Macaca fascicularis: one gene and its partners. The protein of the gene in region 1 purifies or fractionates together with the protein of each later gene. This does not show direct contact. Links are inferred from orthologs where the notes say so. Each region holds a gene or a part of one and is shown in the gene's direction. Other genes may lie near its edges.

The links.
Region 2: the proteins of CANX (region 1) and GBA1 purify together in Homo sapiens (affinity purification with mass spectrometry; 3 studies listed by BioGRID and IntAct, with this or other methods). This does not show direct contact. The link is inferred for Macaca fascicularis from reciprocal best matches to the Homo sapiens genes CANX and GBA1.
Region 3: the proteins of CANX (region 1) and LNPEP purify together in Homo sapiens (affinity purification with mass spectrometry; 3 studies listed by BioGRID and IntAct, with this or other methods). This does not show direct contact. The link is inferred for Macaca fascicularis from reciprocal best matches to the Homo sapiens genes CANX and LNPEP.
Region 4: the proteins of CANX (region 1) and LPA purify together in Homo sapiens (affinity purification with western blotting; 3 studies listed by BioGRID). This does not show direct contact. The link is inferred for Macaca fascicularis from reciprocal best matches to the Homo sapiens genes CANX and LPA.
Region 5: the proteins of CANX (region 1) and ERLIN2 purify together in Homo sapiens (affinity purification with mass spectrometry; 4 studies listed by BioGRID and IntAct, with this or other methods). This does not show direct contact. The link is inferred for Macaca fascicularis from reciprocal best matches to the Homo sapiens genes CANX and ERLIN2.
Region 6: the proteins of CANX (region 1) and GXYLT1 purify together in Homo sapiens (affinity purification with mass spectrometry; 3 studies listed by BioGRID and IntAct, counting the BioPlex papers as one, with this or other methods). This does not show direct contact. The link is inferred for Macaca fascicularis from reciprocal best matches to the Homo sapiens genes CANX and GXYLT1.
Region 7: the proteins of CANX (region 1) and VCP purify together in Homo sapiens (affinity purification with mass spectrometry; 4 studies listed by BioGRID, with this or other methods). This does not show direct contact. The link is inferred for Macaca fascicularis from reciprocal best matches to the Homo sapiens genes CANX and VCP.

The regions. Positions count from the first base shown.
Region 1 is NC_088380.1:186,599,418-186,603,507, forward strand, and holds part of CANX (calnexin), read left to right. Parts: intron 1-436; coding exon 437-563; intron 564-1,867; coding exon 1,868-1,947; intron 1,948-4,090. UniProt on the Homo sapiens protein: Calcium-binding protein that interacts with newly synthesized monoglucosylated glycoproteins in the endoplasmic reticulum. It may act in assisting protein assembly and/or in the retention within the ER of unassembled protein subunits.
Region 2 is NC_088375.1:105,886,885-105,891,454, forward strand, and holds the start of GBA1 (lysosomal acid glucosylceramidase), read left to right. Parts: upstream 1-1,260; 5' UTR 1,261-1,420; intron 1,421-4,570. UniProt on the Homo sapiens protein: Glucosylceramidase that catalyzes, within the lysosomal compartment, the hydrolysis of glucosylceramides/GlcCers (such as beta-D-glucosyl-(1<->1')-N-acylsphing-4-enine) into free ceramides (such as N-acylsphing-4-enine) and glucose.
Region 3 is NC_088380.1:100,992,367-100,996,456, forward strand, and holds part of LNPEP (leucyl-cystinyl aminopeptidase), read left to right. Parts: intron 1-1,145; coding exon 1,146-1,277; intron 1,278-3,811; coding exon 3,812-3,972; intron 3,973-4,090. UniProt on the Homo sapiens protein: Release of an N-terminal amino acid, cleaves before cysteine, leucine as well as other amino acids. Degrades peptide hormones such as oxytocin, vasopressin and angiotensin III, and plays a role in maintaining homeostasis during pregnancy.
Region 4 is NC_088378.1:10,362,206-10,367,061, forward strand, and holds the start of LPA (apolipoprotein(a)), read left to right. Parts: upstream 1-1,954; 5' UTR 1,955-1,965; coding exon 1,966-2,342; intron 2,343-4,782; coding exon 4,783-4,856. UniProt on the Homo sapiens protein: Apo(a) is the main constituent of lipoprotein(a) (Lp(a)). It has serine proteinase activity and is able of autoproteolysis. Inhibits tissue-type plasminogen activator 1. Lp(a) may be a ligand for megalin/Gp 330.
Region 5 is NC_088382.1:41,113,922-41,118,011, forward strand, and holds part of ERLIN2 (erlin-2), read left to right. Parts: intron 1-1,228; coding exon 1,229-1,310; intron 1,311-2,623; coding exon 2,624-2,670; intron 2,671-4,090. UniProt on the Homo sapiens protein: Component of the ERLIN1/ERLIN2 complex which mediates the endoplasmic reticulum-associated degradation (ERAD) of inositol 1,4,5-trisphosphate receptors (IP3Rs) such as ITPR1.
Region 6 is NC_088385.1:48,670,249-48,674,338, reverse strand, and holds part of GXYLT1 (glucoside xylosyltransferase 1), read left to right. Parts: intron 1-958; coding exon 959-1,082; intron 1,083-1,376; coding exon 1,377-1,549; intron 1,550-4,090. UniProt on the Homo sapiens protein: Glycosyltransferase which elongates the O-linked glucose attached to EGF-like repeats in the extracellular domain of Notch proteins by catalyzing the addition of xylose.
Region 7 is NC_088389.1:64,362,999-64,367,088, forward strand, and holds part of VCP (transitional endoplasmic reticulum ATPase), read left to right. Parts: intron 1-1,675; coding exon 1,676-1,787; intron 1,788-1,984; coding exon 1,985-2,157; intron 2,158-3,228; coding exon 3,229-3,371; intron 3,372-4,090. UniProt on the Homo sapiens protein: Necessary for the fragmentation of Golgi stacks during mitosis and for their reassembly after mitosis. Involved in the formation of the transitional endoplasmic reticulum (tER).

The DNA.
Region 1 (4,090 bases):
TATGTTGGGGTACCACAGCCTTATTGTTAGTTTTTCTTGTCTAGCCTTTTTTGCATGTGCTATCATAAAAAAAGGAAGTCTTATTTTGGCCCTCTACTTCTACTAAATGAGGATTATGCTTCATCTGGCATTCATAGCACTTTGTAACTGGATCCCAAGTTCCTTTTCCAGCCTTATCCTCTGACACTATTCTTTGTATCTGTGCCGCAGTCACCTTTTTTGACCCGTATTTTCCTGTCTGGCCCTTTTGTTTTTATTCTACCTTGAAACACGCATGTGCACACATGCTCTTCAGGGTAGGAATTACATCTTATTCGTTTTTATATATCTATCCCTGTATACAGCCTGGAACAGAACTTTGCCTGTAGGCATTCAGGAATTATATAACATAATACCTGAACATGTAAACAAAATTGTACTTTGGGGAACATTTCAGAAACAGACCAGTGCTATGGAGTATAAGAAAACTGATGCACCTCAGCCGGATGTGAAGGAAGAGGAAGAAGAGAAGGAAGAGGAAAAGGACAAGGGAGATGAGGAGGAGGAAGGAGAAGAGAAACTTGGTAAGAAATAGAGTCCAGAAAATCTGCTTTAAGCCAAGACCCTACGATGTCGTTAAACCTTTACAGTCAAGTTAAAGATTGTTTTTAGCCAGGCATGGTGGCTCAAGCCTGTAATCCTAGCACTTTGGGAGGTTGCAGCAGGAAAATCGCTTGAGCCCAGGAGTTTAAGGCTGTAGTCAGCCAGGATAGTGCCACTGTACTCCAGCTGAGCAACAGAGTGAGGTCCTCTCTCTCTCTTTTTTATGTTTATTTTGTATGTATGTATGTATGTATTTATTTATTTTGAGATGAAGTCTCGCTCTGTTGCCCAGGCTGGAGTGCAGTGGTGCGATCTCGGCTCACTGCACGCTCCGCCTCCTGGGTTGACACCATTCTCCTGCCTCAGCCTCCCAAGTAGCTGGGACTATAGGCGCCCGCCACTATGCCTGGCTAACTTTTTTGTATTTTTAGTAAAGACAGGGTTTCGCCGCATTATCCAGGATGGTCTCGATCTCCTGACCTCATGATCCACCCACCTCGGCCTCCCAAAGTGCCAGGATTACAGACGTGAGCCACTGCGCCCATCCTCTGTTTTTATTTTTTAAGACATGGTCCCACTCTGTCACTCAGGTTGGAATGCAATGGCACAATCACAGTTCACCACAGCCTCGAACTTATAGGCTCAAGTGATCCTCCTACCTCAGCCTCCCCCGTCCCCAAGTAGCTGGGACCACATGCCCAGCTGATTTATTATTTATTTATTTATTTGATGTGGTCTGGCCCTGTTGCCTAGGCTGGAGTGCAGTGGTGTGATCTTGGTTCACTGCAGCCTTTGCCTCCCGGATTCAAGCGATTCTCCCACCTGGGCCTCCCAAAGTGTTGGGATTACAGGCGTGAGCCACCACACCCAGCGAGATCCTGTCTCTTAAAAAAAAAATTATTGACCAGGCACGGTGGTTCACACCTGTAATTCCAGCACTTTGGGAGGCTGAGGCGAGTGGATCATGAGGTCAGGAGATCGAAACCATCCTGGCTAACACGGTAAAACCCCGTCTCTTCTAAAAATACAAAAATTTAGCCGGGCGTGGTGGCGGGTGCCTGTAGCCCCAGCTCCTTGGGAGGCTGAGGCAGGAGAACCGCTTGAACCTGGAGGCAGAGGTTGCAGTGAGCTGAGATCGCGCCACTGCACTCCAGCCTGGGTTGACAGAGCGAAACTCCGTCTCAAGAAAAAAAAAAGTGTTGTAGATCTAGAGATTTGTTCTAATGCTAATGTGTAATCACCAAAAATAGTCAGGTTTTGCTCAGTTGTTTAACTTTTGTCTCAGAAGAGAAACAGAAAAGTGATGCTGAAGAAGATGGTGGCACTGTCAGTCAAGAGGAGGAAGACAGAAAACCTAAAGCAGAGGTAAAGGAAAGGGGTCACACATTCTGTTTTTCCAAGTTTAAGGTACATTTATTTAAAGGGAATATTTTAATAGGGTAGTTTACAGTGGCTTATGGCAGTAAAAATTCTGTTAAAACCAATTTTGTTGAAGTGGAATTCTTTGTGATACTGGTCAGTGTTTTGTTTGATAATCTGAAGCTACGTCTGCCTCTCCAAAGTATCTTTTTAGCTGAAAATGATTTTCTGGAATAAGCAGAAGGTTGTAGGGGGATAATAAAATGCTTGCTAAGAAGGAAACTTCGGGTCATTAACAGTCTATTTGCCTCTCCTCACAGTGCCCTGAAAAGTATTTCTTATACAAATCACTGTGTTCTAAACTTTTTGTCCCCGTTATCCATAGATTGGTTCATTCATTCATTTACCTGATGTGTGTTGAGTGCCCATTTTGTTGCAGGCATTGTCAGTGAATAAGACAGACAAAGATACCCTGCCTTTAGGGAGCTGATATTCTACTTGGGGGAAACAGGCAGTGAGCAGTAAACATTGTAAGGAAGTAAACAACACAGCATATTAGGAAGTGAGAAACTATGAAAAATTAAAACAGGAAAAAGTATTAAAAGTGCTAGAGGTAGGGCGGGTCACCATGTTAAAAACCTTACTCGAAAGATGACACTGGACCAAAGACTTGAAAGAGATAGAGAACTTTTCCATGGGGATGTAAGTGGGAAGAGCATTCCAGGCAGAGAGAACAGCCAGTATTGAGAGCCTAAAGTGGTCTACAAAGCCAGTATTGTGAGTGGACAGACAGAGTGGAGAAGAGAAGGGTGGAGAAGGCTCCGGGTTAGACAGGCTGTTGTGTGGACTTGGCTTTCCCTCCTAGTGAAGCAGGCAACCATCACAGGCTACTGGACACAGTTGTCACAGGATGATGACTATCTGCTGTGTTTCCTATATACCAGTGAGAATCAGGGAGACCAGTTAGGAGGTTCCTGTAATCATCTAGGAAAGATATGGTGGCCCCAAAAAGGGTGACAGGAGAGGAACAGAGGGTATGAGAACTAGTTGGGGTTCTGGATCTTGGTTTTGTGGTGGATTGGATAGATATATAGAGTATGAGAGAAAGGGAACAGTCATTGTACCATTGCCCACTAAAGTCCTTCCCCCAGCACCTCTGTGTCTCAGTCTGGTCTCTCCTGGAAAGCTCTTCTCAGGTTTTACTTCCAGCTACAACTCTGCCTTCCTATTAATAAAGGTCATTGCTATCTGTATCTTTTGTATATTTTCAATGGATATGTTCTGTCTTAACTAGAATGCAGTTCTTTTTTTTTTTTTTTTTTTTTTTTTGAGACGGAGTCTCGCTCTGTCACCCAGGCTGGAGTGCAGTGGCCGGATCTCAGCTCACTGCAAGCTCCGCTTCCCGGGTTTACGCCATTCTCCTGCCTCAGCCTCCCCAGTAGCTGGGACTACAGGCGCCCGCCACCTCGCCCGGCTAGTTTTTTGTATTTTTTAGTAGAGACGGGGTTTCACCGTATTAACCAGGATGGTCTCGATCTCCCGACCTCGTGATCCGCCCGTCTCGGCCTCCCAAAGTGCTGGGATTACAGGCTTGAGCCACCGCGCCCAGCCCTAGAATGCAGTTCTTAAAAGTAGAGACCATGTTTCCCCCAAACTCCCTCACATGTTAAAAAGTTGCTGGCGCATTTAAAAAAAAAAAGGAGTATTTTCATAGGGTAATTTACAATCTTAGCAACTTGTGATAGAGTACAAAGAGCAGCAGCCTTGGAGTCAGTCTACTTGGATAGTCTTCCATCTTCATGAATCCTTGGTTTCTTACCCTCAGACTGGGGCGAGTGTGCGATAGGCCAGTAGATTGTTTGGGATTAAGCAAGATTAAGAAATCACTTAAGCAAGATGAAGAAACCACAGTGTCTGATCCCTTTTTAAGAATATGTTTATGGGTTAGATTGAGAAAAGTGTATGCTTATAGAAAACAATGAAGACTAAACTGAAGTAGGAATAATTCCACCACCTCTGAGACAACCATTCTTCTTGGTGCATTTTCTTCTAATCATTTTTCTCATTTTTTCCTCAAATAAGTTACCCTCAGCCTGGCTGATCTTGAAAATATGGTGAACTTTTATTATGTTTTAAATGTGCTAATTAT
Region 2 (4,570 bases), on another chromosome or scaffold:
GTGGCCGGATCTCAGCTCACTGCAAGCTCCGCCTCCCGGGTTCACGCCATTCTCCTGCCTCAGCCTCCCGAGTAGCTGGGACTACAGGCGCCCGCCGCCTCGCCCGGCTAATTTTTTGTATTTTTTAGTAGAGACGGGGTTTCACCATGTTAGCCAGGATGGTCTCGATCTCCTGACCTCGTGATCCGCCCGTCTCGGCCTCCCAAAGTGCTGGGATTACAGGCTTGAGCCACCGCGCCCGGCCGGTTTTGTCTTTTTTTGAAACAGGGTCTTGCTCTGTTACCCAGGCTGGAGTGCAGTGGTGTGATTTGGGTTCACTGCAATCTTCCACCTCCTGGGTTCAAGCAATTCTCCTGACTCAGCCTCCCGAGTAGCTGGGATTACAGGCACCCGTCCCCACGCCCGCCCAGCTAAGTTTTGTATTTTTACTAGAGATAGGGTTTCACTATGTTGGCCAGGCTGGTCTCAAACTCCTGACCTCAAGTAATCTGCCTGCCTCGGTCTCCCAAAGTGCTGGGATTACAGGTGTGACCCACCGCGCCTGGCCACATAGTCATGGTTTGAGCATGTATCACTATCTAACATTATTTTTTGTTTATATATTTGTGTTGTCCCATAGAATGTTAAGGTCCCAAGATCAGGGACTTGCTCATTGCACTGGCTCTAACACTCAGTATGTCCTCAACAAACACTCGTTAAGATACTAACGTGGCAGGGTGGGGCCTTGTAAACAGCTTCAGGACCCTGTGCTTTAGGAGCAACGTGGTGCCCTACAAGGAAGACAGGGAGGATGCAGGAGCACTGCCCAGAGATGGCGTCAGGCTGCAAGACTTCTTGAATAATTCACCATCATAACAACCCAGCCTCAGGAAGGGCTGGGGCACAGCCAGGACGAAATATTAGGAGGCGGCGGACACTGGGATTCCCACGGGGCAGCTTCTGGGCATTGGAAGTTCCCTAACCTGAGGCTCTCTAAAGAGGAAGGTTACGAATCCTCTGAACTTCGGTGGGCTGAACTCGCTGTGGGAATTCAATCGCCCCATCCACCACGGAGGCAAGAAATCGCCGACACGCATGTGTAGTTCTCGCGTTCTGGGCCCTCTCCCTTTCCAAATACGCTTGCGCCCCATCTGGGCTACGGCTGGCCAGCGAGAGTTGTCCGTCTTCAACTTGACCAATGAGACTTGTGAAAGGGCTCTGAGTCCCGCCTCTGGACGAGAGACCGTCTCTTTTCCAAGCGAGGCCCCGCCCCCCCTCCGCAGGGGTGCTTTTGTCGCGGCTGCGGGTGGTGGGGCTACATTCTGTCTTCCGCGTTTTACTGCGCGCGGCCCCAGTCTCCAGTCCCGCCCACGCGCCTTTGCAGCCTGTGGTGGGATTTCCTTTTGCCTCCGGTTGGGGCTGCTGTTTCTCTTCGCCGACGGTAGGCGTAATGAATATTTCGACCTTTGGATCTTAGCTGTCCCCTCCCTGCGTTCCCACTTAACCTTTTTCACCATTATTATTAATTTTTTTTTTTTTTTTTTTTGACGGAGTCTCGCCGTGTCGCCCAGGCTGCAGTGCAACGGCGCCTTCTTGGCTCACTGCAACCTCCACCTCCCGGGTTCAAGCCATTCTCCTACCTCAGCCTCCCAAGTACGTGGGATTATAGGCACCCCCCACCACCTACGGCTACTTTTTTGTATCTTTTGGTAGAGACGGGGTTTCACCATGTTGGTCAGGCTGGTCTCCAGTTCCTGACCTCGTGATCCGCCCGCCTTGGCCTCCCAAAGTGCTGTGATTATAGGCGTGAGCCACCGCGCCCGGCCAACCATCATTATTATTTTTAACGGTAAGGATGGTCAAATTTTACTAATGAAGAAGAGATTATAAAATCTTCAAGTCCTTATATCCACTTGCTTTTTGAGGGGTGGAGTGGGAAGAAGATTATATAATTCATGCATTCTTCAGACATGTGACAAACATTCACGGAGCGCGGCTACGAGCGCCGGGGTTGGGATGCACACTGGAGCTGCAGATGGGTGCCAGGATGGACTGGTCGCTACCCTGCCTGCTGACGATCAGGCCATTGTTTTTGATGAACTGGGTGCTATAACTGCCATTAAGCCATTTGTACAATTAATCACAACAGTGATAAGAGCGACAAAGGAGCTACTCGGGAGTCCAAGTCGGGAGGACCGCATGAGGCCCAGATTTCGAGACCAGCCTGAGCGATAGAGCAAGACACTGTCTCAAAAAAGGCGCGGCGAGAGGGGTGGTAGTGACAAAGATGTGAAGGCCAAGAGTTTGTGTTACAGGAGGTGTGGGGTTGGGGCCGCCTGGGGCGAGGTTCTTAGAGAAAGTTACATCCGGGCTGAATTCTGAAAGAATAAGTGTTAACTAGGCTAAGTGGTGGGGAAGAGTGGGGTGTGCTGAAGGAAGGGATGAAAACCCTGGCAAATCCATGGCAGGAGTAATTGGATGCTGGTATCCCTCCACACTCACCTTCTACGGTCTGATTTCTAAGCAGCAGCTAACGTGATCATTTAAAAATACACATCTGGGCCAAGTGCGGTGTCACAAGCCTGTAATCCCAGCACTTTGGGAGGCTAAGGCAAGTGGATCACCTGAGGTCAGGAGTTTGAGAGAAGCCTGGCCATCATGGTGAAACCCCGTCTCTACCAAAAATACAAAAATTAGCCGGGCATGGTGGTGTGCGCCTTTAATCCCAGCTACTTGGGAGGCTGAGGCAGGAGAATCACTTGAACCCAGGAAGTGGAAGTTGCAGTGAGCCGAGATCACGGTGCCACTGCACTCCAGCCTGGGTGACAGAGTGAGACTCTGTCTCAAAATAAGTAAATAAATAAAATAATAAAAATACACTTCTGATCTTGTCACTTCTCCTGCACCAAGTTCTACAGTGAATTTCCATCTTAGAACATAATTCAGATTACTGTGGCCACCAAGACCTACATGATCTGGCCTCCAGCTTCCTTCTCCAAGGTCTCTTTTTACTGCTGTCTGTCTCACTCACATTGCTCCAGGACTTTCTACACTTTCACTTTATTTTTCTTTGTTTTCTTTCTTTCTTTCTTTTTTTGAGACAGGGGTCTTGCTCTGTCACCTAGACTGGAGTGCAGTGGTGTGATCACGGCTCACTGCAGCCTCCGCCTTCTGGATTCAAGCAATTCTGCCTCAGCCTCCTGAGTAACAATACAGGCAGGCGCCACCAGGCCCAGCTAATTTTTGTACTTTTAGTAGAGACAGGGTTTCATCATGTTGTCCAAGCTGGTCTTGAACTCCTGACCTCAAGTGATCTGCCCACCTCGGCCTCCCAAAGCGCTGGGATTACAGGCGTGAACCACCGTGTCTGGCCCACTTTATTTTTCTTCTTAGCTATCACCTGAAATTATCTGGTTTTTTGTTTGTTTGTTTGTTTGTTTTTGTCTACCACCCCCACTACAACATAAACTCCATAACCACCTGGGACTTTATCATCTTATTCACTGCTGTATCCCAGAATTGAGAACAGTGACTGGCACATGGCAGACACCCAATTAATATTTGTTGAATGTGTGAATCAGAGAGGGCATAGTAGGGGCGCCTAACCCGGTCAGGGGTGTCAGGAAAATGGTTCTGGTAACAGTGATAGTAAGGCTAAGGCTTTAATGATGAGGAAGAGTAGTTACTCATTTTTTTTCAAGATGGGGAAGAAGAAAGGTTCAAAGCAGAGAGGGCAGCAGTGGCAAGATGGAGTGTGGCCTCTTGGAGGAGGTGATTTAAGCATGTGGCCAGTGGAGAGGTGGCTCATGCCTGTAATCCCAGCACTTTAGGAGGCCAAGTCAGGCAGATTGCTTGAGTCAGGGAATTTGAGACCAGCATGGGCAACCTATGGAGACCCCATTCCTACAAAAAAAAAAAAAAAAACGACTCCCATCTTTTGTAAAGATGGAGTCTCTCTGTGTTGGTTAGGTTGGTCATGAACTCCTGGCCTTAAGGGACCCTCTTGCCTCAGCTTCTTAAAATGATGGGGTTGGCCGAGCATTGTGGCTCACGCCTGTAATCCTAGCACTTTAGGAGGCCAAAGCAGGCAGATTGCTTGAGTCAAGGAATTTGAGACCAGGGTGGGCAACATATGGAGACCCCATTTCTACAAAAATATATATATTTGTAAAGACAGAGTCTCCCTGTTTTCGTCAGGCTGGTCATGAACTCCAGGCCTTAAGGGATCCTCTTGCCTCAGCTTCTTTTTTTTTTTTTTTTTTTGAGATGGAGTCTTGCTCTGTTGCCCAGACTGGAGTGCAGTGGCGTGATCCCGGCTCACTGTGCAAGGTCCGCCTCCCGGGTTCAGGCCATTCTCCTGCCTCAGCCTCCCGAGTAGCTGGGAGTACAGGCGCCCGCCACCACGCCTGGCTAATTTTTTTTTGTATTTGTTAGTAGAGTCAGGGTTTCGCCATGTTGGCCAGGCTGGTCTCGAACTCCTGACCTCAGGTGATCCACCCGCCTCAGCCTCCCAAAGTGCTGGGATTACAGGCTTGAGCCACCGTGCCTGGCTGCCTCAGCTTCTTAAAATGATGGGGTTGGCCGAGCACAT
Region 3 (4,090 bases), about 86 Mb from region 1:
GTTTTACTACAAAAAAATAGCACCATAACCGGAGGAAGGTGAAGTTAGGGAAAGGTAGAGAGCCTTTCATTTGTTTAAAATTAGGAATGTTACGTCGTTTTTGTTTTGTTAATGGGCATGTTACAGTATGGAGGGGAAAGTTGGTGATGCAGAAGAGAAAGGACTGTTGGGGACAACAACGAGTACTTACATTTATAGAACAAGTAATAGCTATGAAGCGTGATATAGAAATGAGTAATAGGTAATAATTTAGTATTTGTACAATAATCTTGACATTACTACATTTTAATCAAAAGTGAAATTCATTCAAAAACTACTAGAGTGCCTACCATGTAGTGGGCATTGTTTTAGTCATTGGAGTTGAGTTTTCACTTTTTCCTCTCAGTTAGCTTACAGTGTAGATGAGGAAATAAATGTGTAACAGATACAGGATGCCAAATAAACTGTATTGAAGATGGAGAAATGTGATTTCTATTTCAAACCAGGAAGGGCTTCACAGAGGAGGTGGTGCTTATTTCAGGATTGGGAAGGATGACATGTATATCAATGGATGTAGTGTGACCTTAATAGTATGCTTGCTGCCCTATACATTTGTTAGTTCCAAGCATTTGAAGTGACTCTGCAGGAAGAAAAGAGATTCTGGTTACTTCGCAACACAATATACTAAAATAAGAAATTAATGACATACCTAAAAGGGAGTCTTTTGAGAGCCTTGCCAATTTATTGTGTCTCCAGTAGTGTGTGCTCATGAATTCAATGGGTAATTTAAGCACTGGGGATGGAAGTGTGGATGCCACAGAAAATTTGCCATGTTTTTCTATTAAAATGTATTTATAAATACTTAGCTTTTCAACACTAACACCGAAACAGTGAGTATACCAATAGACCACACGGACTGGCTCCTGGTTAGAATAGTGCACATGGGAATCTACTCATTAATTCTTTTTCAAATCCTTTAAAACAATGTTAAGATAGTTGAACACAGTCCACATCTAGTTATAGCAGACTAAGTAGCAGTGTATTATAACTAAGTTCTACATATGGAAGTAAATTTTTAGAATGACTATAGTTTGAATTTTAGATTCCCAATTTGATAATCTATAGTATTCTATTATTTTCTTTTTCCTCACCTTTTTTTGGAGTAGGGAGCTTCTCTCTTGTTGATGCTGAAAACTTACCTTAGTGAAGATGTGTTTCAACATGCTGTTGTCCTTTACCTGCATAATCACAGCTATGCATCCATTCAGAGTGATGATCTGTGGGATAGTTTTAATGAGGTAAGTGACCTGGGTAATTTATTTAGCTCAGTAAAAAGAGACGAGTTCGTCTATTTATACTCTTTAGTATGTGTGTTAAGTTAATCTGTGGTACAAAGCATAGTTATTTAAGAAAGAGGGGGATGGAGCTTGCTATATAAATATTTATGAATGGAGCACTGAATTTTATGTCAAGAAATGAGAATGCTGTTCTTAGTTGTTGGAAAAAATGTGTGTGGACTTGGGTAGCCAGTTTTTTGTTTGTTTGTTTGTTTTTTCTGTACCTTAATTTCTATTCCTATTTTGTAGGAAAGTTGTCTTCTCCATATTAATGAATATTACTATATTTTTATTATTTGACTTTTTTTTTCAAAAATTTCTTTTCCTATCCTTACCCTTTTTTAGTTTTTCTGCCTCCTTTGAATGATTCTGTACTCTGCTCTGTGAATCTCTTGCCTTTGTGACTGTTCCTCCAGAGTAGATGATACTTCACAAGCTGACTGCATATTACACTTGGATGGTTTTGCTGTTGGAATTTTGTCATTCCTGGAAATATTCTAGCAAAAAATGTAATTATGTAGAAGTTACACTTCAAAGCAGCACATGAACCCGGGCTGCTTCATGCATGTATGCTGACTGCAAAACCCTTATAAGCATTTGCGTTTGTTACCCTGATTTAGATTGATGGGTCGTAATGCTTTAAAAGATTACAGACTTGACTGGGCGTGGTGGCTCACGCCTGTAATCCCAGCACTTTAGGAGGCCAAGACAGGCAGATCATGAGATCAGGAGTTTCGAGACCAGCCTGGCCAATATGGTGAAACCCCGCCTTCACTAAAAACAGAAAAATTAGCCAACGTGGTGGCACGCACCTGTATTATCAGCTACTTGGGAGGCTGAGGCAGGAGAATCATTTGAATCTGGGAAGCAGAGGTTGCAGTGAGCCAAGACTGCACCATTGCACTCCAGCCTGGGTGAGAGAGCAAGACTGTCTCAAAAAAAAAAAAAAAAAAAAGGAAAGATCAGATCGCAGACTTATTTGGAAATTTGATGAAAGTTCTGGCCATATTACTCAGAAAAACCACATATGTGCAGAACATCACACAGAGTTTCAAAGTTTTATTGACTCTAGGTTAGGAACCCCTACTCTGGATCTTTCTCATACATTCTTTCTGCTTCTTTGCCTCATCTGAATCCTGATATTTTCTAACTGTTAATCTTTTGCCCAGAAGATATATCTTCCCTACTCTCTGAATTCTCTTTGAGAACTTATTACCTAACAGTTGTTCCCAAATCATGGTTTTATTCCTCTGATATAGTAGCATTTCATTTGAAAGCCACATTGTTTACTTTATACTTACCCTCTTATCTGTTGGCATTTAGAACATATTTCTGCCTTTCTCATTGACTGCAACTTTTGCATCATGGTGTTTTTCTTTCCCAAACTAGTTCCTAACAGTATCCTCAGGTTTTTCAGCATCCACATCAAATTATGCATTGGCTTCTTCACTTCAATACTGCTTCGACACCCAAAAGCATCTTGATTTTAGGCAAGCTTATTTTCTTCTAATTCTCTGGTTCAGAAATAAATAGGTTAGGGCCATGATAAATATAAGATTAATTAAAATGGGAAGATTTGCTCCATCCTTTTGTGCTATAAATAAATGGGCATATGGTGATTGAGGTAAGGCCTGCTGTAGTAGAGTGATTTTATCAATTTAGGTACATCATGACTTTGTTGCTTACAATTCAAATTCATATATAAACTAGAAAAATAATTTGAATCCTAAGTTTAACCACCTGCTTTAAAGAGGCTGTTGTTCAAAAATTGCTTCTTATTTATTGATACTAGATGTCTTAGGGGCTTTGGGCCTTAGAGGGTCTGCAAAGCTCTGACACTAGGTTCTAGATTTTATAGATAACTTCATATATTTTCTGGGAAAGAAGGTCTGTGACCACCAAAGTAGTTTACCTCTGTTTTTGAGAAAGACTTAAGGCAACTGACCTGTTCATATGTCATTCTTCTGCTGCTGCCGCTGTTCCCTGGCACTCCCACAGTATTAGGTCCTAAGAGACTATCATTATGGAGGTGGAGGGTAGGAGCATAAAGAGAAACCCAGACTCAGGTGATTCACAGCATTGAGTAGCAATGATTCTGATTGTAGACTTATATCATTATTCGTATCTTCTAGATGATAGTATTGTGATTTGAAAGAATACTTATACCTTCTTAGGGATTTTAATATTGATGAATTTAGGGATTTTAATGAACTCTTAGTTGGTTGATACATGTGCGACTTCTCAACCTAGTGCCTCCCTCACTCCCTTAGCTATCACTTAGCTCTGTTCCAGGTTACATTCCTTTTAGCAGTTGCTCATTTACCTAGATTAGAGGTGTAAATTCAACATTCCTGTTTCTTTTTTATGTTAACATTAAATGTATTCTTTATAGGTGGTAGGAAAAGAGGGAAGCGTACAGATAAATTAAAATTAAATTTTTTTAAACCAATTTTTATTTTTAAGGAAAAAGAGTTTTATGTATATACATTTTATAGGTCACAAACCAAACACTAGATGTAAAGAGAATGATGAAAACCTGGACCCTGCAGAAAGGATTTCCTTTAGTGACTGTTCAAAAGAAAGGAAAGCAACTTTTTATACAACAAGAGAGATTCTTTTTAAATATGAAGCCTGAAATTCAGCCTTCAGATACAAGGTACATGCCCTCTTTCTTTTCATGCCATCTCTTTTGCACCCTCAGTGATCATAAGTTCTTATGAAACCTAACAAGATTATCCCTTCCTAGGAATAGCTTAACAAAGTTAACCTTCCTA
Region 4 (4,856 bases), on another chromosome or scaffold:
TTAACAACTCTCTTCCTATCCCTCCCTGCCCTGGATCCTTCTCAGCCTCTAGTATCTTCTGTCCTACTTTTTACTTCCTGTGTTCAACTTGTTTTAGCTGCCATATATGAGTGAGAACATGCAGTGCTAAACTTTCTGTTCCTGGCTTATTTAACATAATGTCCTCTAACTTCACCCATGTTACTGTGAATGACAAGATTCCATTATTTTTTATGGCTGAATAGTATTCCATGATATGTGTGTACCACATTTTCTTTATCCATTCATTGGTGGTCAGACAACTAGGTTGATTCCATGTCTTGATTATTGTGAACAGAGCTGCAATGAACCTGGGGCTTCAGATGACTCTTTGATATAATGATTTACATTCTGTTGGATAAATGCCCAGTAGTGAGATTGCTGGATCATATGGTACTTCTATTTGTAGTTTTTTAAGGAACCTCCATACTGTTCTCCAGAGTGATTGCGCTAGTTTAAATTCCTGCTGTGTAGGAAATTTCCCTTTTTTTCTGCATCCTCACGAGCATGCTATTTTTTTGTCTTTTTGATAACAGCCATCCTTACTGGGGTGATATAGTAGCTCATTGTGGTTTAGGTTTGCATTTCTCTGAGGATTAGTGATGTTGAGCACATTTTCATTCATTTACTGGACATTTGTATGTCTTCTTTGAGACATGTCTACTCAGGTCATTTGCCCATATTTTAATTGGGTTGGTTTTTTGCTGTTGAGATGTTTGACTTCTTTGTATATTCTGGATACTAGTCCCCTGTCCCATGAGTAGTTTTCACATATACGAGGCACCAAAGTAGGTCTTTTACACAGGTTATTTGATTTACTCCTCACTCGGACTCTATGAGGGAGGTGCTATTACTAACACTCTCATCTTACTGAGAGTTCAGCAGAGGTTCATAGCTTCCCCAAAGTCACACAGCTTCTGTGGCAGATGGAGCAGGGTTGGATGCCAGAGCCAGGCCCTCCAGCCCTACGCCTCACTGCTGCAGGAGCCTGCTCATCTGCAGTCGCTGCCACAGGCATCAATGGTAGTACCCAGAATAAGCATTTATCGAGCACCTACTGTATTCACAGAACTCTGATCAGTCTGAAAGTCCAAGCAATGAAACAAACAAAGCCAAGGAATGGTAGAAATCGCAGAGTTCAAACCAGAGTCTAGGACCTGAAGTGCACTGCATGGGCCAGGTTAAACTGAATGAAACATTCCTATTTTGATCCCTTTCATTATTTGTTGTCCATACCCATAAATACCTTTATCAGTTTAGATGTGAAGTCAAAAACAAATAGGCAAGGAATCAGCTCTTGCAACATTCTCTTCTCCTGAAAAAGGTTCTTTGAAAGTCCTGTTTTGCAGAGACTCAGTCCTTTTGCATGATGGGTAAATCGTAGGAGACCTCTGCTAGGTCCTTATGTTACATACCTAATGTGGAATGGTTGCTTCATCCAAAAGCCTGGAGTTTTCAGAGACACTGTCCTCAAACTTCCCCCATTGGACAATACCAGCGCCTGCAGGCAACAGCTCTGACGCACTTAAGACTTAAATACAACCCACAGAAGTGCTGGCTTGGCTGGGAAAACCTATTGCTAAGCAGAAGAGCAACATTGTTTTTTCTTTTTTTTTCTTTTCTGGAATTTGTAAACAGCATTTATTCTCAGCCTTGCCTTTGAAATGTTCCAGTTGGAACATTGCTGGGCAGCGTGCAAACAGGAGCGAACGTCAGCCGGGGCGGCAGGGGGCAGCAGACCCCACACTTTGTCCATGCCTCAGGTGGGAGGGAGTGTCCGGCTCCAGAAACCTGCCCAAGCGACTTCAGCCAGCAGACGGTTCATGTCCTGAGGCTGCAAAATACGAGGTGGTAGTAGTGGGGGGCGTGAGGCTGAGAGTGGGGAGAGCAACACAGGGGCGCCAGGGTGGGAGCCGCAGCAGGCCCGTGACCGCCCGGAGGACACTGATGCTTCTGGAGCGCGCGCGAGGGTCCAAGGCGGGGCCGGACCGAGGCCGCCTGCGCTCCGCGGAGGCGCGGTCTGAGGGACACGAGGCGGTGGCAAGGGACAGCAGGCGGAGGCGCGGTCTGAGGGACACGAGGCGGTGGCAAGGGACAGCAGGCGGGGGCGCGGTCACCGGGCGCGGGAACGGGCGGAGACATGGAGGGGGCGCGGGTGGGCGGACTCCCTCCCGCAGGGCTGGGGTGGTCAGGCCAAGGCCGCTGGGAAAGGTAGGACGCTCGCCCCTGCGCTGCCAGCTGGGCTTTTCTCCTTCCTCGCCTGCCCTGTGTTCCAGGGCGCGACCCCGCTCTGTCCAGACGCTGGCTCCCGGACTGACCCTCAGGTAGGTGGGTCGGAGCCCCTGAGAGAAGTGGGGTTTGAGGGAGGGCATTTCCGTTTCCAACAGCAGGCACGGGGAGCCCGGATGCCCCAGCTCCTGGACCCTGGATTAGAAACTGGCAGGAGTAGGAGATGTTTTGTAGGAGGCTGCCCTCTGCTTTTCTCTGTTCTAACATCTGCTGGACTCAGGGAGTCTTAGCACCTGTATTTTTGACCAGAAAAAAATTGGAACAGCAGAAAAGCCAATGTGATGGGTTACGCCTTCTTAACGTGCCTCATTCAACGTTGTAAGTTCCTTCCACAGACTGATCTTTTTCGTGCAATTGATGTGATCCTATGTCAGCTATACAAAACAATTTTTGTTTACTGAATTTAGTTTAAAAGGCAAGAAGTTGCTTTCCACAGGGCACATTGATCCCCGGTGGAAAGGGATGCGTATGCCCTGAAACATGGAGAGCCACATGCGCTGCTTGGTTTTGTGTAGAAGTAACATGAGATGATCTTTTCACTGATTTTCAGAATTGTGGAGAATTCCCTTAGGAAAATAAGTATGTGTATCAATGGATGACTAATATGGGCATTTACTTTAACTGATTTCACTGAAGCAGTGCTCCTAATATTTTGAGACACAGTTTTTATTTGGTTCCTTTTTACCACATGATCAATTAGCTTCTTACTTCATAAGTTATAGTGGGGGAAGGTACTTCCTATTTTCTCTTTAAATTTTATGTCCCTTATTTAAAGAAGCAGTAGGCCTGGTGCAGTGGCTCACTCCTGTAATCCCAGCACTTTGGGAGGCCAAGATGGGCAGATCGCCTGAGGCAGGAGAATCGCTTGAATCCGGGAGATGAAGGTTGCAGTGAGCCAAGATTGTGCCATTGCACTCCAGCCTGGGCGACAAGAGTGAGACTTCATCTCAGAGAAAAAAAAAAAAAAAAAAAAAATTAGTCCTCAAGTCTCTGGCTAAATACAAAGCTGTGTATGCACAGGGAGAGGTTCCACAAAGAAAGAAGAATAAGGAACAGCTACTGGGGAAAGAACAACTGCAGGGGAACAGTGAGCTCAATGGAGATGCCAGAGCTCACATAGTACTTTCAGACTCTTTTCAGTGTATATTTTATGCTGAGATTTTTTAAATGAAATACTTTGTGTGGACAGGGAAAATTGGTACCAAAGGGAAACTTTAACAGTGAGGAAGAAACTTTCTATAAAGAGGACAGGGGACAATATACACAAAAGTCTGTGCTAAGTGTAAAATGAGCATATTCATCCTTAAAGCACATCAGAATTGAATACGAGTATTTATCCATTTCATTCATTGAATGAATTATTCATTCACTGAATCAATGAAATAAACACAGCTCTTTGAGGATTTGAGACTACATTCACCCTTTATTCATAGTCACCTGCGGTTTTGCTTTTCTCTGCATTTCTTTGCTGTTAGATGACTGCTGCATTGTTGAGTTGTATTTTGAGTGGATATTTTTGTTTGGTAATAGTGAAAATTTTAAATTGTAAAAAATGTATATTTATCCTTTCTCTCCCTTCTAAATATGTGTCACTGTAAAACATCATTCCCATGTGACAGTGTGTGCTGTAGACTGTTTAAAAATTGGGCAGCCAATTAGCAATGAAAAACAAGTGGTCCACCTTCAATATTTGCTTGTGGTTTATTTACATGCTCTTGGCACCAGTCCTAGACTCACATGTGCCCCAGAATAACATTCAGACTCTCAGCTGGTCTTGTGTTACACGTCCATGGCCCGATTCACTCCATGGTATACAGCACTCTGCTCCGTGTCCCCTGGGCTGGGCTCAAGTCAAGCAGTCAGTGACAGACTTCATTCCCAATAACAGAACCAGTTTGCATGACTCCCCATACATGTTGCAGCTTTGAAAACATTCATCTCAATGTTCACACTTTCATTTAGTATCAAGTATTTTACTGGGTTCTTACAACCATGGTGTAGTAACATTCACTGAGGAGGAAATGGAGGATCCAAGGATGGAGCAAGTTGCTCTGGGCACACAAATGCATTTGCAGTTTTACAGCCTCTTGGTGGCGTCTCAGTCAGACATTCTGTGTACTGATCAATGCCCTATTCAATTAATGGAAAAGGATGCACTCTGCGTGAGATTCCAGTTGTGCACAGAATATACATGAGAAGTGTGCCTTTGTCATCTCTACTTTCAAAGGTGAAGGCCACCAGCAATTTCTTGTATGCAACTGATGCCTTTCAAATGAAATCTTATATCTGTGTAGTCCGTAGGCAACCACAGGCAAATGTGAGAGTGAAACGCTATGTTCTACGTTGTTCTGTGTCAGTGAAGCAAGGCAGTGCCAGCTCAGAGGGCTCTGGGGCCTCAAAGAAGGGATGCCTGGTTGTGGGTGTTGCAACTTCCAGCAGGGCAGTCAAACCTAACTGCTGATGCTTTTCTTTCAGTTCTGCCATCATCGCTGACAAAGTCATCCCAGTTTGTCTGCCATCCCCAAATTATGTGGTCGCCAACCAGACTG
Region 5 (4,090 bases), on another chromosome or scaffold:
AAAACAGACTTCATCTTCTTTTTTTTTTTTTTCTGAGACTCAGCCTGGCTCTGTTGCCCAGGCTAGAGTGCAGTGGCAAGATATCAGCTCGCTGCAACCTTCGCCTCCTGGGTTCAAGCAATTCTCTGCCTCAGCCTACCAAGTAGCTGGGATTACAGGCACCTGCCACCATGCCTGGCTAATTTTTGTATTTTTAGTAGAGACGGGGTTTCACCATGTTGGCCAGCCTGGCCTTGAACTCCTGACCTCGTAATCTACCCACCTCGGCTTCCCAAAGATTACAGGCGTGAGCCACTGCGCCTGGCCAGAGTGCCTGTTATCTAAGTATACCCATGGATTCCGCTGTCTTTTTTTTTTTTTTTTTTTTTTAAGACAGAGTCTCACTTTGTTGCCCAAGCTGGAGTGCAGTGGCACAATTATGGCTCACTACAGCCTCAACCTCCCAGGCTCAAGCAATTCTTACATCTCAGTCTCCCAAGTAGCTGGGACTATAGGCATGTAACCACCACACTCAGCTAATTTTTTTCCTTTTCTTTTTTTGTAGAGACAGGGTCTCACTGTTTGAGACAGGTTGGTCTCAAACTCCTGAGCTCATGCAATCCTCTCACCTCAGCCCCTCAAAGCGCTGGGACTGCACTAGCGGATTCTGCTGTCTTTTCTTTTTTTTTTTTTTTTTTTTTGAGACGGAGTCTCGCTCTGTCGCCCGGGCTGGAGTGCAGTGGCCGGATCTCAGCTCACTGCAAGCTCCGCCTCCCGGGTTTACGCCATTCTCCTGCCTCAGCCTCCCGAATAGCTGGGACTACAGGCGCCCGCCACCTCGCTCGGCTAGTTTTTTGTATTTTTTTTAGTAGAGACGGGGTTTCACCGTGTTAGCCAGGATGGTCCCGATCTCCTGACCTCGTGATCCGCCCGCCTCGGCCTCCCAGAGTGCTGGGATTACAGGCTTGAGCCACCGCGCCCAGCCTCTGCTGTCTTTATTCCATTTAGCCTGTGTGCCTATTTTTCTCATTGCAAAAGCATGAACAGTGGTTTTATGTTTTATCATCAGGCTTCCTAGAATATTAGGATCTAGCTGAGAGGAAGAAAGGGATCTGTGGCCATGGCTCCAGCACATGTCACTCTCTATTATGTGTTTATAGGGCTAAAGGGAAAGTTGACCCTCATGATATTGATCTAATAGAGCCTTCTTGCCAAACTGAAGCTGCCTGTCTCTCCCCCTCCTCTGCAGAGGTGGTGCCCTGCTGACTTCGACCAGCGGCCCTGGTTTCCATCTCATGCTGCCTTTCATCACATCATATAAGTCTGTGCAGGTATGCTTGTCCTCTGTGGTATGATTGGATGACTGCAAATTTGGGATGTTAACTAGTGCATGATTTGAAATTATTTAGCCATTGAATGAGTAAAATGCCATTCTAGAGAACAATATAAGGATAATTTTTATATATATATATGTTATATATATAAATATATTTTTTATATATATAATGAGGCTGGGGATTATTCCTTCAAGATAAAGCCAGAGAAGAACCTGTTTTGAGTATATGGAAGGAAAAGTCGGGGTGTATGTGTGTATGTTTTAAATCACAAGCTACCATGTTAGATGGAAAGAAAACATAGTAATTTTGCTGATTCTTATTTGAATTCAGAAATATGAACATAATTTTTGCAGTGAGTGGGGAGGAGTTGAACTAAGTGAGGGGAGGTGACATCTAAAATAGGAGTGAGGTTAGTTGTGGCAGATCAAAAGCCTGGCTAAGTTAGATTCGCCATCTCTGAAGTATGTCCAGCCAAGAAGAATAACAAGATTTTACACTTTACACTGATGCAGGAGAATGTCTTGGGATACCTGCTAGGCATTTTCCCTGTAAGTTTTGTGTGCTGTTTACCAGGCTTTGTGGCGTTCAAAGTGCATTCAGGTACATTGTCTCATTTGAGTCTTGTAGTAATCCTGAGAATGGGCTGGGCAGCTGTTAGGGTCTGAGACAGGTTAAGTAAGTAATCTGCTGTTTCAAAACTAGTACAGTAGCCCTCCCCCTTATCCATTATTTCACCTTCCACAGGCTCAGTTACCCACAATAAACCATGGTCTGAAAACAGGTGACTAGAGTACAATAAGATATTTTGAGAAAGAGACCACCTTCAAATAACTTTTATGATGGTATATTGTTATAATTGTTCTATTTTATTATTGTTGATCACTTACTATATCTAATTTATAAATTAAACTTTATCATAGGTATGTGCTATAGGGTTTGGTACTCTCCCCAGTTTCAAGCATCCACTGGGGGTCTTGGAACATATCCCCCTGAGGGGATAGACAGTGCCTACCATAAATAGAAGAGGTAGAAGCAAGCATAAGTCTTAAGGTGCCCAATCCAGTGTCGTCTTCACTAAACCATTATTACTCAGTTTGTTTGTGTGGTGGTTTACTTACAGCTGGGGCAGGGGCCTTTGCTTGGCTTAGCAACCCTATGAGGAAGGAGGATTAGGTGGGGTAATCATGTTTAATGAAGGCAATGCTCAACCCAAATGGTTATTCCAGGACAAAGGCATTTAGGATTCTGAAACGTAAGTTACTTTGTCACTGCCCATCTCTAGCACTTTATGTTTCCTCTGTTTCCAGACCACACTCCAGACAGATGAGGTGAAGAATGTACCTTGTGGGACTAGGTAAGGTACCCAGAATAAAGCTTTTAAGCCCAAATAAGTCAGAGAAAAGGCTATCTGGCTGGCTGCAGGAAGAGACAGTGAAAAGGGAGGCACCCTTTCTTGGTTAATTCCCTGTCTCGTAGCTCCCTATATTGATTTGACCAGGTGGTGGAGTGCAGTAGAGGAAATCACAGAAGGTTCAGGAGGGGCTAGAATGCCGTATGTAATAAGGAGTTTGCACTTATTCTATTATAAGTGAGGATTGGCCAGGCGCAGTGGCTCACACCTGTAATCCCGAGGCAGGCTGATCACGAGGTCAGGAGATCGAGACCATACTAGCCAACATGGTGAAACCCCGTCTCCACTAAAATACAAAAATTTAGCCAGGTGTGGTGGTACGCGCATGTAGTCCCAGCTACTAGGGAGGCTGAGGCAGGGGAATCACTTGAACCTGGGAGGCAGAGATTGCAGTGAGCCAAGATCATGCAGTTGCACTCCAGCCTGGCGACAGAGCGAGACTCCGTCTTTTAAAAAAAAAAAAAAAAGAAGTGAGGATCACTATTCACAACAACAAAGACATGGAATCAACCCAAATGCCCATCAACGATAGACAGGATAAAGAAAATGTGATACATATACACTATGGAATACTATGCAGCCATAAAAAGGAACAAGATCATGTCCTTTGCAGGGACATGGATGGAGCTGGAAGCCATTATCCTCAGCAAACTAGCGCAGGAACAGAAAACTAAGCACCACATGTTCTCACTTATAAGTGGGAGCTGAATGATGAGAACACATAGACACATGGAGGGGAACAACACACACTGGGGCCTGTCAGTGGATAGGAGGTGGGGAGAGGGAGAGCATCAGGAAGAATAGCTAATGGATGCTGAGCTTAATGCTTAGGTAATGGGATGATCTGAGCAGCAAACCACCATGGCACACATTTACCTATGTAACAAACCTGCACATCCTGCACATGTACCTCTGAACTTAAATGTCAGGAAAAAAAATAAAATTTTAATGTTAAAAACAAAAAAAAGAAGTGAGGACGCACAAAGGTTTTTAGCAGATAAATGACCTGATACAAGAAGATAACTTTTGCATAACTAAGGAGAATGTCATAAAGTTAGGGGAGACCTTCAGGGCAAAGAGATCCGAAGAGAACATTACTATAGCAGTCCCACTGGAAAGCAAAGAGAGTTTAAACTGGGATAGAGTAACAAAGAATACCACAGAGAAACACTCTGACAAATCCGGAATTGGAACATCCCACAAGATCACAGGCCTGATCTCTTCACAAAGTGGTCGTATTTAGAGGGATGCTGGATTGAATGGAGACTTACAAGAGACATAAACAGAAGCAAGGGTGAGCATTGATTAGAACCCGGTTCAAAATTAACAGCTATAAAAGATACAATGGGAACTGTGTGAGTCC
Region 6 (4,090 bases), on another chromosome or scaffold:
CCTAACTTGCCTCCCTCTGGGACGGTGAGAGTTTATGGGACTACATACATCTGCTAGACTGGACCCAGTTATTTTCCTTAGCAAATCTTCTTTGACTTTGTATGTCATTCATGGTGCCTCTTTACAGAATTCTTTGCGTGCATTTTCTAATGTACAAGTAGCAACCTTTTAGAAGATAAAATGGAATCCTCTCAAAAGAGATAGTATACATAGGAACAAACTTGAAAGAAATTGGCAGTATATATGTATATACACACACATATATATATTTTTTAAATGTAATAAGATAAATGAACACTTAAATAAGTAGGAAGACATATTATGTTTTTGGATAGGAAAATCCATCATAAAAAGGCCAGTTCTCTATGAGAATTTTTTACTACAAGTAGACACAAAGCTCATAAATTTCTGCTGCTTTGTTCATCTTCCCCACTCCCTCTGCAGCCTTGATTTTTGTCAATCATACTGTTTTTTAGTGTTTAACTTTAGTTATGTATGCATTTTTTAACTTGATTTATCAATTTCAGAATGATCTATTTGAACTGCCAATTATAAAAGTTAAGCAAATCAATCTGAGAATAATAGCCATCATGGTAAAAAAATAATAATAGCTAACACTGAATATTTACCATGTGTCAGGTGCTATTCCAAGCACTTTAAATTTACATGTTAACAGTTTTAATCATCAACAACTCTGACGTAGGCACAGACATAGGTACCAAAACTATCTTCATTTTAAGATAAGGACACAGTTACTTTTGCTTTCTTTCCTGACTTACTAGTTTTATCACTGCCACATACAACTTCCTTTTGTTATCTTCTCTTTTACTGGAGAGCCCTTCTCACATTTAGGGTTGGAAATGTCACTTGATATTGTGAGGAGTTTGCATTTCTCTTTGTGGCTTTGTAATGGTTACTGTGGGTTACTGTAATATCTTTTGAATGTTTTTATCAACAGAATGATATGACAACTGTACGACTACAATGGGGAGATATACTTATGCCACTGCTTAAAAAATACAAACTGAACATCACATGGGGTGATCAAGATCTATTGAATATTGTGTTTTTTCATAATCCAGGTAATTATCTAAATTCCTTTTATTTGCATTAAAAAATCACAGATAATACTGAGTGAAAAAGGAAAACATGCACTTATCTGATTCTGTCTTATATTAATGATTATTGCTATTTATGTTTAAGACAGAGTAAAACTTTTCTTGAATTTTGCTTTAATTGGAAGAGATCTAAATGCCGAACATTTCTCATTAATTCTTACTTGTAAGAGCTGTATTTTTTAACTAAAAGTTTTGCATAATGTTACATTTGTGGAATTAGGGGTATTTGCTTCATTGTCTGGTCTTTTCTTTATGTAGAAAGCCTTTTTGTTTTTCCGTGTCAATGGAATTATCGACCAGATCATTGTATATATGGAAGCAATTGCCAAGAAGCAGAAGAAGAAGGAATCTTTATTCTTCATGGGAACAGAGGTGTTTACCATGACGATAAGCAACCAGCATTTAGAGCTGTTTATGAAGCACTAAGAAATGTAAGATTTGCCTTTTCTGTTTTTTTAACTTTGTGTTTGAAAATACTTTCAAGCTAATGGTTAGTTTACAAAAATAGTACAAAGAATTTTTATACACCCTCAGCCTCATCTGTTACTAACATTTTGCCTTATTTGCTTTGTCATTGATTCTCTCTCTACTTTTTTTTCTGAAAACAATGTAGTTGTTTTTTCAGAAAACTTAAATTTGATTGTAAGTTGCATACATTAAGGTCTTTTACCCCTAAAAACTTCGGTTTTTTTTTAAAACTAATTAAAGGACATTCTCTTATTAACCACAGTACATATATCAAGCTAGAAAATTTAATACTGATGGAATACATTAATCTGCCATCCATATGGCTTTACTCTCTTTGAACTAGAACAGTTTCTCAGTCTTTGTCTTATATGACATTGGCATATTTCGACAATAGAGCCTCTTCACCCCTTTTTTTTTCTTAGAATGTTCTTCATTTTGGCCTAATGCTTCCTTACAATTAGATTCAGGATATACATATCTGCTCAGAATACTCTATAGGTGGTGAGATGTCCTTCTCAGGCTCTCATAGTCATAGTCCCCTTTGTCTGCCCCTTGCTGGTGATGTTGATTTTGATCAGTCAGTCAAAATGTCGTTAATTTTCTCCACAGTGTAGTTATTTTTCCTTTTATAAGCAGCCTATGGGGAGAACCTTTTAAAATCATGTAAATATTCTGCTTCTCATTAAAATTTTCCTACAAGATTTAGCATCTGTTGTTGGTTCTTGCTCAAAACAATCTTCACTATGTTATTTGCAAATTGATGATTGTTCAATACTAGCATTCCTTCCACATACATCATTTGACACTTGGCATGCATCTGTAAGGAAGAGCTCTCCCTTTTGCACATATATTGACGTTTATATAATCAGTATGAACCCTTTGATACTTATTTTCTCCAGTGATTTATAATTCATTATTTCCTTCTAATTATGTTGATGCTAAAGTTGTTCCTGATATGGACACTGGGAGCCCCAGTGGCTACTTCTTGTGCCCCTTTGACATGTGCTCATGACTTTTTTTGAGTACCTCCTTTATTTTCTGTTCCAACAAAATATTCCAGGTTTATTTTATACTTTCCCTGCCCTACCCTTGAAATTAGTCATCTGTCAAAGGAGCTCTGCTTCCCTTTAGTAGGCTCTGGATGTTAAGCATGTTTATTGCTACCATGGTCTCATTGCTTCTGAGCTTTCTCAGTGGCAGAGCTAGGAAGTATAAGCATGCACACATGATGTTATGTGTTCACACCTGATTCTCTAATTCCAGGCCATTCTTCCAAGGCTCTTCTTTGCTTTCTTCTACTCTATATTTTATCTCCTTTCTTCCACAGTTAGAATCCTGACTTCTATCAATAACACATTTTCTCATTTGCTTAATCCTACAATTATTTAAAATAATTTCAGAAGTGTTCCATTCATACCATTGTCTCCACCCCCAAACCAACTTACTAAAAATGGCTTAGGATTTGTTTTCAGTCCTTCCTCTTCCTCTCCTCTGCTCCCAGACAAGGGTGTGTACTCAATACTGTATTCATAAGTTACTTGGATTAGTTCTTTTTTTCTGATCTTTCAGTGTGATTATTTCATTCATTTGAAATACAGTTGGATTCATTTGTTTCCATATGCTTTCAGTTTTAGTTTTTTTTCCCACTATCTTTGTTGATATAATTGCATTTTTTGATAGGGGGATATTAATACACTTCACAAAGTCAGAATTACATAAGGGTTTACTCTCATGTAACCTGTTATCTTAGCCCTTTCATTCTAACTGCCCCCTACCTCTATAGGGTACCAATTTCATCGTTTTCTGGTTTATCCTTCCTGTGTTTTTAATAAGATGAGCAGATGTATGTTTTGTAATTTCCATTTTTTTACACAAAAGGTAGTTTAGTGTATATCTTCCTTCATTCTTTGCTTTCTATACTTAAAATATTCTGGAGATATTTCTCTCTCTCTCTCTCTTTTTTTTTTTTTAAAAAAAAACAACTGTATGGTACTGTATTTTATGTATGTACCAGAGTTTATTCAACCATTCTCTATGTTTGGACATTTTGGTAGTTTCCAGTAGCTTGAATTATAAATAATGCAGCAATGTACAGTTAGCTGTGTCGTATATATATTTGTATTGTTGGAAGGCGAGTCTTCATGGTAAATTCCTGGAAGTGGGATTATTGGATTGAAATTATTACCTGTGTTCCTCCGTAGGGATTGTTTGTATTCCTGCCAATGATTTATGAGACAGTCTGTTCCCCACATCCTCATCAACAGAGTATAGTATTAGGCTTTTAAAATTTTGTCATTCTGATGGGTGAGAAATTGAATCTTAGTGTAGTTTTAATTTGCATTTCTCTTTTGAGTGAAGTTTAATCTTTTTATATATTTATGAACTATTTTTATATCTTTCTGGGGGTAAATTTTCTTTTAAATGTTTCACCTATACTTCTATAGGTTTTTAAAAAATAACTAATGAAACATAATTTATATGCCGCAAAGTTCACCCATTTAAAA
Region 7 (4,090 bases), on another chromosome or scaffold:
AGGACCCAGAGATGTAAGAACCCCACAGCTTCCTAGCTGAGCACAGTGTCTTTTCTCTGTCTTTTGGAAATTGTGAGGATATTTCCAATGGGAATACTATTTTGTGTTGTTTTGTTGACTGCAGTATCCCCAGCCCTTAGAACAATGCCTGGCACATAATTGACACTCATGAATTTGTTGAATGAAGAAATTCCTTTTAAAAATTTATTTTCTTTGGCTTCCTTCATTGTCTAGCCTTCCTACTTTGGTTAATGCTTATGTTTTCCTGAGCCTTACTAACAGGAGGCAGCTCTTAAAAAAGAGAGAGAGAGTGCTGGGTACGGTGGCTCACGCCTGTAGTCCCAGCACTTTGGGAGGCCGAGGTGGGCAGATCACTTGAGGTCAGGAGTTCGAGACCAGCCTGACCTCTAGTAAAAATGCAGAATTAGCTGGGCGTGGTGGCTCATGCCTGTAATCCCAGCTACTGGGAAGGCTGAGGCGGGAGAATCACTTGAACCTGGGAGGCGGAGCAGAGGTTGCAGTTAGCTGAGATCCCTTCATTGCATTCCAGCCTGTACAACAAGAGCGAAACTCCATCTCAAGAAAAAAAAAAAAAAGAGAGAGAGAGAGAACTTGAGTCTACTAAGTGACAGCTGGAGATGGGCTAGGTAATAAGTTGGTGTCACTGTCTGGTGAATGACCCTGTCTTGTAGGAAATAACAAACTGAGTATAGACCCAGTCAACTTTGATTTGGATGAGAGGGATTTGTATTTGCACAGTGTTTCAGCATTTCTTGGTTTTGGTTTTTTGAGCCAACTTTATGGAATTGTGTGCTTTTGCAGAAATTACTGTGAAGTTCCTTTTGACCTTGAGCCTCTTTCTGGCAGTTTCATGTCTGTTAGTGTTGTTTCCAAATATGATGGAAACCATATGATGATTTTTATGCTTGGCATTCCTTTGGTACTATGGAATGCCCTGGCATCAGTAGGTTTAGCCTATAAGGAGGGTAGCACCAATAATTCTGCTTCATTGTCCCCAGGCTTGCTTGGTAGGACTTGAGAGCTCCCTGAGCCTCAAGGGAAATTGTCTGGCTTACTTCATTCCCTGGAAAGTTAGCTTATGCTTTATACTGTTAATCATGGTGACTGTTATTACCATGTGCCAGCTATTATGTTAAGCATTTTACATTCATTATCTCCCTTAAGACAATAAGCCTCTGAGGTAAGTATTATAGTCTCTCTCTTATAGAGGAAGACATCAAAGTTCAGAGGTTAGGTAACTTGCCCAAGATCACAGTTAAGTAGTGGCAGAATTGGAATTCAGACCCAATGGGTCTGACTATTATAGAGTTCCTGCTCTTAACCACTCTTCTATAAGTCTAAGACTATTTTTATTTCTCTAATAACTCTTCAGTCTCCATTTCTATTATGTCTTCTTGGGGCAGGATCACTCACTTGGAGCCTTATAGCTGGGACACTGATGCTCAAAATACCAGGAGCTGCCGGAATGGGTATTGTAATATGTATGCTAGATACTGCTCCTCGTGACCTTGGCTGCCTTTCCTTCATCCGCGCTCTCTGGTCTAGGGACAGCTTCATCTATTCACTGTTTGTTTCCTAAGTATGAGTTTTAGAGACTGGTGAGGCCCTTGGGGCGGGAGTATCTACTGGGACTGACTCCATTTCCTGCTTCTAGTTCAAAAGGTGATGACCTATCAACAGCCATTCTCAAACAGAAGAACCGTCCCAATCGGTTAATTGTTGATGAAGCCATCAATGAGGACAACAGTGTGGTGTCCTTGTCCCAGGTAAGCTGGGGCCACAAACTAGTCTTTCCTTACTGCACTTACTTGAGGGATTTGCCCAGGTTTCTTTTCTCATTTTGCAGATATTTCTATTTGCAGACTGCAGATAGAGTGGGGTTTACTGGGAATCCCAATCTCGAGGGCTGTTGCTTACTCCCCTTCTGCCCAGTGACCCAAAGGCCTTAACTTTCTTTCCTCAGCCCAAGATGGATGAATTGCAGTTGTTCCGAGGTGACACAGTGTTGCTGAAAGGAAAGAAGAGACGAGAAGCTGTTTGCATCGTCCTTTCTGATGACACTTGTTCTGATGAGAAGATTCGGATGAATAGAGTTGTTCGGAATAACCTTCGTGTACGCCTAGGGGATGTCATCAGGTGTGTGGGGTTTTTGGCTCCACAGGGATGGGAGGCCAGAGATAGCCTGCATTACAGGCAGTACCCATGTATTACAGGCAGGACCAAGTTCTTGGAACCTGTCGATGCAGGAAGCCTGCTGGTCATGGGAAGACTTATGCTTCAGGATTGTCTTTAGGTTTTGGTTCTGCCTTCCTGGGACTTCAAAATCCATTTCTGCAGGTCGCTTGAGACAAATTGGCATTCCTGTAACTTTCTTGGTGCCTTTATTTTTTCCTACTAGAAGTGTAATTTATCATACTTATAGCCTAGCTTAGGATACCACTCGAGGGTGTGTATGTATCTGCCAAATAACCTCCTCACTACTCTCACTAGTATGTCCAATTAATGGCTTGCGTTGGGGTTGGAATGAGGTGGGGATATGGACATGGAAGGTGAGCTGCTAGCAGGCCTTTTAAGCCCCTAAGTGAACCCGGGAGAGAGGAATAGTTGGAGCCAGACCCAGGATAGTTCTCAATGTGAGTGATTTTGCTTGTTCTTGCATAATTTTAGGCAAGAGGTTGCCCCATCTTGGAGTCATCTCTAGCCACTCTTACCCAACCAACCATCACCTGGCCAGGATCATCTCAGGCTTTTGATTCTTTTTGATGGAGTCTAAGTTTCATGTAGCTTTCTTCTTGGGGGTGCTTAGTCACTTCCTCAAGGTGTTCTGAACACCTGGCTGAGATAATTTTGTTTTTTTCACTTCTGTTTCACTGACCCTGACAGTTGTTAGCTTAAGACCTTCCCTTGTAATATTGGGTCACCAATATTAGCTAGAAGGGGATCATCCTTGGATATCTCACTGAAGACCTTGCATATCTTTGTGGGGTTTCTAAATGTGTGGCTCTTGATTTTGGCTCACTGATTAGAAGTGAGTGGGGCTGTTCCTTTGCCCTCACTTCCACGGTGTTCTCCTTCCTCTCTTCACCTAAAGCCATCCTGCCTTTTCTTTTTCACTTACTATCAGCTATCTGTGCCAGGCCCTTTTGGACACCCAGTGCTTGGGCCCGAAGTGTGGTTGGTAATATGGAGTCTGCTTGTCATCCTCAGCATCCAGCCATGCCCTGATGTGAAGTACGGCAAACGTATCCACGTGCTGCCCATTGATGACACGGTGGAAGGCATTACTGGTAATCTCTTTGAGGTATACCTTAAGCCGTACTTCCTGGAAGCTTATCGACCCATCCGGAAAGGTGAGAGCTAATTCTGAGTTTAAGGATTATTGACTGTAGTTAATAAACCTTGGAACATCTTCGTCTCGTTTTCTTTCTTTTTTTTTTAATCTTTTATGCTTTTCTCCTGTATTTATTTATTTATTTTTTAAGAGATGGGGTCAGCTGGGCACCGTGGCTCACACCTATAACCCCAGCGATTTGGGAGGCTGAGGCGGGTGGATCACTTGAGGCCAGGAGTTCGAGACCAGCCTGGCCAACATGGCAAAACCGCATTGTGGGCACCTGTAATCCCAACGACCTGAGGGGCTGAGGCACAAGAATTGCTTGAACCCAAGAGGTGGAGGTTGCAGTGAGCCAAGACCAGGCCACTGTACTCCAGCCTGGGTGACAGAGCAAGACTCTGTCTCAAAAAAAAAAAAGAAATGGGGTCTCACTATGATGCCCACGCTGGTCTCAAACTGCTGGGCTCAAGTGACCCACCTGCCATGGCCTCCCAAAGTGCTGGGATTACAGGCATGAGCCGTCATGCCTAGTCTCATTTTCTTTTCTTTTTTTTTTATTTGAGACAGAGTCTCACTCTGTCCCCCAGGCTGGAGTGCAATGGTCCAATCTCAGCTCACTGCAACCTCCTCCTCCTGGGTTCAAGCAGTTCTCCTGCCTCAGCCTCCTGAGTAGCTGGGCTTATAGGCGTCTGCCACCACGCTCCGCTAATTTTTGTATTTTTAGTAGAGATGGGG